Arabidopsis thaliana: one gene and its partners. The protein of the gene in region 1 interacts with the protein of each later gene in a pairwise test. Each region holds a gene or a part of one and is shown on either strand. Other genes may lie near its edges. The genes, in order: AT4G03600, AT1G34640 and AT1G16170.

Evidence for each region.
Region 2: the proteins of AT4G03600 (region 1) and AT1G34640 interact in a protein complementation assay, tested with the Arabidopsis thaliana proteins (one large-scale study listed by BioGRID).
Region 3: the proteins of AT4G03600 (region 1) and AT1G16170 interact in a protein complementation assay, tested with the Arabidopsis thaliana proteins (one large-scale study listed by BioGRID).

What each region holds. Positions count from the first base shown.
Region 1 is NC_003075.7:1,602,998-1,606,214, forward strand, and holds AT4G03600 (pyrroline-5-carboxylate reductase), read right to left. Parts: upstream 1,632-3,217; 5' UTR 1,312-1,631; coding exon 823-1,311; 3' UTR 641-822; downstream 1-640. Other genes in the region: AT4G03610 (Metallo-hydrolase/oxidoreductase superfamily protein), read left to right, coding at 2,042-2,208, 2,493-2,634, 2,738-2,868, 2,966-3,107, 3,196-3,217.
Region 2 is NC_003070.9:12,686,909-12,690,071, forward strand, and holds AT1G34640 (peptidase), read right to left. Parts: upstream 1,636-3,163; 5' UTR 1,520-1,635; coding exon 1,278-1,519; intron 889-1,277; coding exon 798-888; 3' UTR 644-797; downstream 1-643. Other genes in the region: AT1G34630 (uncharacterized protein), read left to right, coding at 94-160, 231-527.
Region 3 is NC_003070.9:5,538,288-5,542,051, forward strand, and holds AT1G16170 (ephrin-A3 protein), read right to left. Parts: upstream 1,716-3,764; 5' UTR 1,280-1,715; intron 887-1,279; 5' UTR 866-886; coding exon 587-865; 3' UTR 379-586; downstream 1-378. Other genes in the region: AT1G16180 (Serinc-domain containing serine and sphingolipid biosynthesis protein), read left to right, coding at 2,618-2,801, 2,876-3,115, 3,197-3,308, 3,388-3,562, 3,661-3,764.

The DNA of each region.
Region 1 (3,217 bases):
AGATGTAATTCTCTAGACCGAGCGATGGTATTTAAATTACCTTATTATCCTAGAAACATGTGAAATTTAACATAATTGTCATCCAATTTGGTCTTTCAAAAAAAAATTCTTTTTTTTGCTCAGTTAAAAAAAAAAGTTCAACAATATATGTTCCAAAGACAAAAAGATTCACGCATTTTCATGATTTTAGAGTTCTTAGAATTTTTTGTTATAAAAGGTTTGCAGACATTAATTTTTTTCCCCAAATTAGAGTTTTTAGTTGAGGTATTAGAATTCTTTTTATCAAGAAAGGTACTTATAAAAATAAGTATCAGTGTGTGAAATCCACTACTTCAATGTTGGAATGTTACACCTTCCTCAAGAAGGAATTTGAGTAAGAAAGAAGTTGTGTAACCCATTATTATATGATCTTATCTTCGCAAAACATGCCTCTTCAACTAGTTGATGTAGTTTTAAGCTACTAAAATAATAACCGGGTAACTTAAATAGTGAAAACTGATAACAAACTTAATAGGATATGTAAATCACTTGGTTATTGGTCCATGTGTTGAAATTGTGTGGCAATGAACCCACAAACGGATAACAAATCATGATTTTCAATATCTCAAATGAGAAGTTGTGGGACGATCCATTCTAGATACTAAATGCTGTCATCAAGAAAAATTATCTAACCACAAACAAAAAAAATTGAGCCAATGCATCATGAACTTCTTCATTCTACTACTAACAATTGATTTTCTAAATTAACTTTACATTTACATTCGGGAGTGACTCAAGATAATCTAGATCAAAATTCCCTAAATAATCTAAAAATCAAGAACCTTAATATGAGTCAAAATCTCTTCTAATAAGCAGAAAATAAGCTAAAACAGCACAAAAAGCAGCAACAACATTGCCTTCTTTCAAAAGAACCTTAAACACAAATCCGACAACTTCTCTCGTAATCTTCCTTCCTTCAACCACTAAAACTCTTCTTGATTTCCCAAAGAAGGCAAGCAACACCACCACCGATATCCAAATCACCATCACCGCCGGAACCGCCACCGTCATAGCAGCCACCATCGACATAGCTCCAAACATCGCACCGAGCACCACCGACGCGTATACCGCCGGTAATCTTGAAGGAGAATAATCTGAATTTGATGACGTGTATTGAAGCTTGTACCAGTTAAGAACTGATCTCAGGAGGTTCCATGAAGAAGATACGAGAATTGCGTAGACAGCGATGAAGAGACAAACCCATGTCCGTCTTTTACTCATGATTGTGATGAAGATATGATACGATCTTGGAGATTCTGTTTGATCTGCCATTAGAGATTGGAAGTTCTTGCTTATCGATCGAATCTGTTTTGAGATTTGTCTGCGACTGAGCAAAATAAAATAGAGCAGTTTATGAGAATCCTTACACTCAGTCGTAGCGCGTGTCGTGTACGCTTCTTTGTGAATTTGTTTTTGAGCTGGCAATCGCGTGGTTATGGTTCACACGCGCTTTAATATATTTTTTTTTGTGAAATATGAAAAACATTTGGTCGAATTTGTGAGATAATGAAATGGTAATTGGAAAGATTGTGACTGCATTGTTTTTAATAATTAAGTAAATTTAAATTCTGTGGAAGTATATTTAATCAATAAACTGGAAAAACAAAAGAAAAGATTTCGTTACCATAACGATTTAAATTTAAGATTTTGTTATACAGAAAAAGAAATGTAGAAGATTTTTTTCTAATTTAGAGGAGTCAAACAATGATATATAACAAAAAAAATCACAATCCGGTGGATTTGTGGGGTAAGTCATTAATCTTTTACTATTTTGTTTGGAAAAATTAGTAGTCAATATCATTATGACTACATATATCAGTGTCAAAGACTCAAAGTAATGGCTTAGATATTTTATGTTAATAAAAGGAATATATATACTGTGAAAAAGACAAGTTTGTGTAAGGGATCGCATATAATCTCAACTAATACAATAAACAAAGATATAGCCGTTGGCATTAATCAGCTTTGGCTAGACCAACCAGAAGATCAGAATCTTGAGAAGATGGAGAAGAATCAATCTGATGATGATGGAACGGCTCTGATCTTTCTTGGAACAGGCTGCTCCGGTGCAGTTCCCGATTTCAGATGCTTACTCCAGCCGTCAGATCCTCCTTGCCATGTCTGTTCTCAGTCCCTCTCTTTACTTCCTCACCTTAACCCTAACTACAGGTAAATCTTGTCATCAGTTTCTTCTCTTTGGGTTTTGGTCTTTGAAGCTGTGGAGATTTGTGAAATGTCAAATCTTGTTGCTTTCCGTAAAGACCCTTTTGAAGTTGGGAGTTTTGATTGAAAAAAGAGACATCTACTGTTGTCTATATTCGTGTTGGAGTTTAGGTTTTAATCCATTTTAGGTAAAAATGAACCATCCGATTTCTAGTGTTCTTGGGAAATTATTTCAGATATATTAGGGTTTGGTGAACATTCTTGAATCTTGATTCTCTGTTTTTTGGCAGATGCAATACATCGCTCTTGATTGATTATTGCAGCAAGGAAGAAGATGGTAGACATAAGTACATACTTATTGATGTTGGCAAGAGTTTTAGAGAGCAAGTCCTTCGTTGGTTTACCTTTTATAAGATTCCTCGAGTCGATTCCGTTAAGCCCTTTATATACTTATCTTCTTGATCTCTTGCATCTATTTTTTTCTCTGAAATGAAATCTAACTTTTACTGACTAATGCTTGTATGATTTTGTGTAGATCATTCTAACTCATGAGCACGCAGATGCGGTTCATGGCTTAGATGAAATTCGATCTCTTCAACCTCGTGGTGCAACTATTGTTGATACCGATCCACTTCCCGTCTTTCTATCTCAATTTACAATGGAGAGGTACCATCTTCGATTAGTGTTCTCTATCTCAACTCTGGCTTAAAGCTTTTCAAATTAGCATTTGATGAGACTTTTAAGGCAACAAAAAATTGTGCAGTATTGCTACAAGGTTTCCTTATTTGGTTGAAAAGAAGGTAAAAGAAGTACCTAGACGAGTTTCACTTCTTGACTGGAAAAACATCGAAGAGAATTGTGACGAACCATTCGCTGCCTCGGGCTTATCTTTCACGCCTCTTCCGGTTAAATTTCTTTTCACTTTTGAGAAATCAAAACAGTCTAATTCTTCCATGAGACCTTATAGACTCAACAATGTTAGTTATGCTTTAGGTGATGCATGGAGAGGACTACA
Region 2 (3,163 bases), on another chromosome or scaffold:
GTTAGAATCAATTCTTGGAAGGCTCTTATCGATTTTTGTTTTGTTCTCACTTGAAGTTGGAACTTAGACCATCTCTATAATGATGTAAAATAGGGCTTGGACTTGTCTACTATTCCGCACTTTTGAGACATGCAACATACCGCTTGTGGCCATAGCAACAGTACAAACGAAAGCCATTCTCATCACATATCATTGTTAATATAATACCTAACGTTAGGCTTCTCCTGCAGTTCCCAACAGGTCTGGCTTTAGCTATTGAGAAGAAAAGCAGAAGGATAGAGATATCACTATACTGCTTAGCGAGGGCGATAGAGAGCTTCTTTACTTGCATGACAGAGGCAGGATACATTCGACCGCCCAAGAGTTTAAGAAGAGCGGATGTGGTTGTGTTCAGCGTTTCGACAGCCATTATAATGCATTGTTACGCACAAGAAAGAGACGTATTTCGATCAAAATACTTGAACGTACTAGATTGGGTCTTCGGTGTTCCTCCTCCCCCTCCTGCTCCTTCTTGCGAAACAACCTAGAGACATTCACTTTTAACCTAAAGATCTTTCTGATGTGGGACAGAATTTGGTGGTAGAATGCTCATTTAGAGTCTCTAGGAGTTTTGTTTTGGGTCAATTTTGTATACCACAATCCATTTGACAATTTTTGTCCATCTTATGTGGACACACCAATATGTAATCTGGTAGTCTTACATGTTCTACAAAGTTAAAATAAAACGAAGCTAAATATTTTGTTAATCAACAACACTAAACCATAAAAAAGATGGACCAAGTAAATACAATATGGCTTCAATAATTTGATACGAACATCCACCACCTATACACTGCATATCCATAGACCGTGCCGTATAAAACCATCCTCATAGGGTACACTCTAAACCTGCATTACTTGGTCCAAAGATGTATCCATTATCCATTAATTAGGCCAGTAAACCAAACCAAAATTTGGATCTAACAATTAAAATCAATAGAAAATATTCACGAAAATAAACAAATTCAATCATAACTTGTACACCTAATTCGTAGATATACAATAATACATACATTGCAAATGGAACCTAACATTGTATGTATGGTTTGAGATTCGCTCTTTTGAATCCAAATTAATATCGGTTGACAAAAAAAAAATTGTATGTATGATTTATGTTTATCCAATAGGTTTTAAGGCAATAAAGCTAAACCAAAATTTAGATCTAATAATTCAAAGATTAATATATAATGATATGATAAAACAACTAGTTTGATATTGAGATAAGATAAACAAGTAACCTTGAAGGATGAGATTTGCGGGCGAGAGCGGCTGATCTTTCCTCGGCGGTGACAGGATAGCCCCACCGAGAGAAACTCCGATCAAAGAAGTCCCAATCCGGCAAAAGTATGCCGCCAATAAGAGAAATACCGACGGCGTAAGTAACAACCGTCTTCTTTAAAGACTGTGTCCATAACCATACAACTACCATCACCACTGCAAGACCTACCATTGATGATCTTAGTGCTGCTTCGTTTCCCATTATGGCTAAGAGAGAGTAGATAGCTTATATTTAAAACGGGATTAGTTGAAGTTGCTTTATAACAGTGTAAACATGGAAAGAAGATTCACAGATTATGTAGGATGTAGGAGAAAGATTTCATTTATGTGTTAAAGATAATATTTAATGGATTTTTTTATATAGGGTATATTCTTTTGGAAAAATGCGTGGCAATCAATTGAATTGAATGCCGCCATAAATGTGGTAATGTCCCAACCGTATTTTTGGATCCAAGTTTTTGTGTTTGTTCAGTTTTATCTTTATTTATGGTTTTGATCATAGAGTAATTAGAATTATACCGAAAAATTAGGAAAAAAAAGATAAATTTTGGAATGACAAGAAGGAATTCACAAACTTTTCTTTATTTTTAATTTTTTGTAGTGTAAATGTAAAAACGGATAATTTGGTATGAAAGAATTATACCGAATTGCATCATACCATATATATAAACAATATCTCTCGGATTAACTCTTTGAATTCTAATTAATATCGGTTGCCAAAAAAAATTTGTAGAATAAAATGACATAATCATCAAGCGGGACAGAAATTATTTTTAACTTTCACAAGCATAAGATTATATGAGTACGTTGTACTTTAAACATAAGACAACAAAAAAATCTTATCATATTTTTGAGGTAAAAAAAATTATAAAATTGACCAAACAATGTGTTATACATATGAAATTTACTATTTATTATTTATTTGTTATCTCATTTAATATTATGTTATAATTTTAAATTGATAAACTTAAATTTTGAATCCTCAATATTTAATTAACTTTACCAATCAAACTCTACATCTACAACCAACACATGTAATCATACAACAAAAAGTTTATAGCTACTGCCGAACAACAGTAAAAAGGAAAGTTACTACTCAACCAAACACCCACATAATTGGTTACTAACATAAATTTTGTTTTGATAGTTGGCATCGTTAGTAATAACCTCAAACTTTTCTTTTCTTTTCGCCAAAAAGTAATAACCTCAAACTACGAATGTCGTTTTGTAAATGAAGATTTCTAATTTTTTCCTATAAATGTGAAAACAAAGTAAATACTCTTTTTCATTGATAGTATATTAGTATCTAAAGCATTAATCTTACAAAGGTTGTTAGATCTATATAAATTCAGAAACAATTTTTTAAAATCCGAAGCCACAAAACTACGCATTGACAAAGGACAAGTTTAAGTCCCTTGGTAGAAACAAATGACGTCGACTATTTCTATTGTTAAATAGCGACGAGATTAAGCCCTCATATATATGCGGCTAAATAGCAACACCATGTTTCTTTTACACATGTTTTTCTATGAACTTGCTACAAAAGTTCATGAGAAAGTGTGGTCACATCTTAATAATATCTATTCCTCGGTAACTATTTTAGTCTATATCTACTAACCAATATTTGAATATTTTCTCAGTAACAAAGTAAAATATAATACTGATTCCCCCAATGGTACTGTGATGCCACATTGCTAAACACTCAATTAAGTTTGGTTTTGATACCCCTTATAACATCATGATCGCCAATGTTTATTTACCATCAATTACAGTTTTGACCTACAAATCTCATCCTCGTTATTCGACCAGTGCACTTCTACATGTAAGGTTGATAGACTTGTTTACT
Region 3 (3,764 bases), on another chromosome or scaffold:
GAATATTTCAGCCTTTATGTAATGTATATGGTGACAAGAAAATCAATAAGATCACTCGGCAGCAAGTCATCCATCTTTAGCCACAAAGTGTATTTGAAATTCGAAGTTAACATGTACTTTTGAAAATGAAGTGTGGACTTTTGGTGTGACTTGAATGTATTATTTGATGACTGGAAAAACTTACTTGTCTAGGAGTCAACGATGTGTCAGAAAATGTTTGACTTCAAGCATTATGGTTTCAGTTTCAGAGTCTCGACCTGTGTAGGTAGTAGAAGTTATATCCCGCTGCTATCATCATTCCGCTGGTAAGAATTCCCAAATATACAGAAACGCATGAGCTCTAATAAGAGCGCCTAATAGAGGCTTGACATACAACCGGAGGTGACGATCCGACTCAAAACAGTGCACATGTATACTCTCATCTCATCTGATGAAATAAAGTTATCTTTCAATTATGAATCTCTGGTTTTATTTCACCATGTAATAATACACACAAATTGCATTATAGAATAAAGAAGAAAAAGAATGTTTTAGTACAAGAACAATAAATGTGGGGGTTTCAAACTTTCACCGATAGATAAACAGTCTAGAAGAATTTAAGTTTCCCTTTGGAGAGAGCTTGAACAAGTTGTAATTGACACATTGCCTTGTCTTTCCCGGTCAAGCCATAGCAGGACGAGTGCCTAGCGCCTAAAGTGACTGCAAAGTAAAGATAAACAGTACAGAGGAAAGCCAAAAGAGCCAAAGCTGTTAAGAGATATTGATGCCTCTGAATAAGAGTCGACCAGCTACCCAACTCGTCCCACTGCTTCTTTAGACATTGTTGTCTCCTTGACGGTGAAGATACAAGCCCATCAAGAACCATGGCTTTATAATACCAATTAACCTGCAAAAATTGACACACAAGTCGTTTTAACACAATTTTACAAGAAACATAAACATGCTATGAAAAGGAGATCATCACAATCAGATTGAATGTAACATTTGGGAGATCACTTTTCCATCATAAACCATCATAAATGTCAATGAGAAACAAGAATTCGAGACACATATCGCTGTTTTGATTGGTTGTGGAAACGACATTAGTCATAATTATAATTACAAAAGAGCTTGGATCGTATACGAAAGATGAAAATGAAAGCAACAAATTGCCAACAATAACGTCATTCTCAATCAATCATCAATCACAATACACAACAACAACAACTCGCGATCGATGCACATTGGATAATCGAGGGAAACAGATCCGAAGTAGGTGAAAGATTATTAGAAAACGAACCGGTGAGAATCGGTTTAGAGATCTGGAGAAGAAAAAGCTAGATTCCAGCTCCGTCGACAACCCCCGAAATCTTCAGCAGTGTTGTTGCGATATGGAGAGAGAGAGAGAGATGGATCTCCTCCGTAGATTGATGATGGCTCGAGCTGGGCCGATTTGCCGGATACGCCGTACGCGGCTTATTATGTCCGTTACATAAAACGGGAATTTAGGGATTTTATATACAAAACAATAAAAAGATAAAAAATAGGAAAGAAGATATATAAAGAGGACAAAAAAATGATGATGCGTTGTTTGTTAGCTTCCACTCCTTTGTGTTTTGAAGATGATGGGCATGTTGTTAGAATCCGATGATGAGTGATGACATTTACCTAGGACTATGATCTGACTCTTGCAGCTTCCAGAGGGCATTTACGAATACGTATTAAGATAAACTTTTTTAATCATTAACGAGAAGACAACTCATGTTCTAGTAATCACGATAATGTTTAGTACTTTTGTATATTGTATTTGTATGACAGTATGAGGTGTTCAATATTTTGGTTTGCTTCCAACTAAACTAAAAGTCTAAAATACATTGTTTTAGTTGCACTGAAATCCTAATAGACTGAGTTGCCGTTGCCGTGAATCACTTTAGCCGGTTAGCATTTAGCATCCAAACCAAAACTATTTACCCCCAATAGCCTAGAGTTTTTTTTTTATAACTTTTTTCTTTTTCTTTGTAAGGAGACTTGCAAGGTTTTAGTAGAGGTCTATCTTAATCAAAAGCCCATGCATGATAAACAGAAGGAGAAATTAAAATAATTTGGGCCATTAGTGGGCCAAACATGAAAACTTGGTATTGATGGTTTACTAGTTCCTTTGTAAGTTGGTCAAAAGTCCGAAATCAGGAGCGAGATAATAAAGAAACAACGAGTTGTTTTACTTTTCAAGGAGAGGATAGCTCAAGGTTTTTGATCGATCGCAAGGTATTTTGATTCTCTCTTTCTCAAGCGATTTTCGTTTTCCTTCTTTTGTTCCAGAGGTCAAATTCAATCCCTAAAGCTAGGTTTCTCGGGTGAAGCTTTAGATCGGGAGCTATGATTTCATCTCGAATTTGGGGATAAATTTCAGCTTATTTTAACCAATTTCAATTGATTCCAAATAATTCTGTTTATCTCTGAGCAAAATTGATTAATTTTCGATTCGGTCTTTAAAAAGCTGCTTTTCTTACCGTCTCCATCCGAAATTAGTTTTTTTTGTTTGTTTGATGATTTGTGTTTTGATGATTTGTGTTTGCGTTTTGGTTGATACTAGCAGCTGAATATTGAATCCAACCTTTAATCTGAGAGGAGAAAGAAGATGTTTGCAGCTTCTTGTCTCGCATCGTGTTGTGCTGCTTGTGCCTGCGATGCTTGCCGTACTGTGGTTTCTGGGATCAGCAGACGTTCTGCTAGAATTGCTTACTGTGGTCTCTTTGCACTTTCCTTAATCGTTTCATGGATTCTCCGTGAAGTTGCTGCTCCTCTCATGGAGAAGCTCCCTTGTAAGTTTTTTTGTTATTATACTTCTCGTGAGATTATTTTGGTGTATGCAACTAATCATTGACATTGTGTGCAGGGATTAACCATTTTCACAAGACACCTGATCGTGAATGGTTTGAGACTGATGCTGTGTTGCGTGTCAGCTTAGGGAATTTCTTGTTTTTCTCTATTCTATCGGTTATGATGATCGGTGTGAAAAATCAGAAAGACCCTCGTGATGGTATACACCATGGTGGTTGGATGATGAAAATAATCTGTTGGTGCATTTTAGTCATCTTTATGTTCTTCCTTCCAAATGAAATCATCAGTTTCTATGGTAAGTTTCTGTTTATCATTGCAAAGTGATTAGTGAATCGATTAACTTGGAACTAATGGGAATCAATTTTACATCTTGCAGAGTCGATGTCAAAGTTTGGTGCTGGATTTTTCCTGCTTGTTCAAGTTGTACTTCTTTTGGATTTTGTTCATGGATGGAATGACACATGGGTTGGCTACGACGAGCAGTTCTGGTTAGTAAATATATTTGCAATTAAATCATGTGACTTCATTATCCCACTACTAATCTAAGTACTTGACTTTTATATATAGGTATGCTGCTTTGCTCGTTGTTTCTCTTGTATGTTACTTGGCAACATTCGTCTTCTCTGGGTTTCTCTTCCACTGGTTTACTCCATCTGGACATGATTGTGGACTCAACACCTTCTTCATTATCATGACTTTGATATTTGTATTCGTCTTTGCCATTGTAGTTTTGCATCCTACTGTAAGTTTTGACTGAAACCTTATATTTCTCTTATCTGAGATCTTATTTGATTCCCAATTTCAGGCTCACTGAAGTCAAATTAACCTATTCTTTTGCAGGTCGGTGGAAGCATTTTACCAGCATCGGTTATATCTCTGTACTGCATGTACCTCTGTTACAGTGGACTTGCAAGTGAACCCCGGGATTACGAGTGCAATGGTCT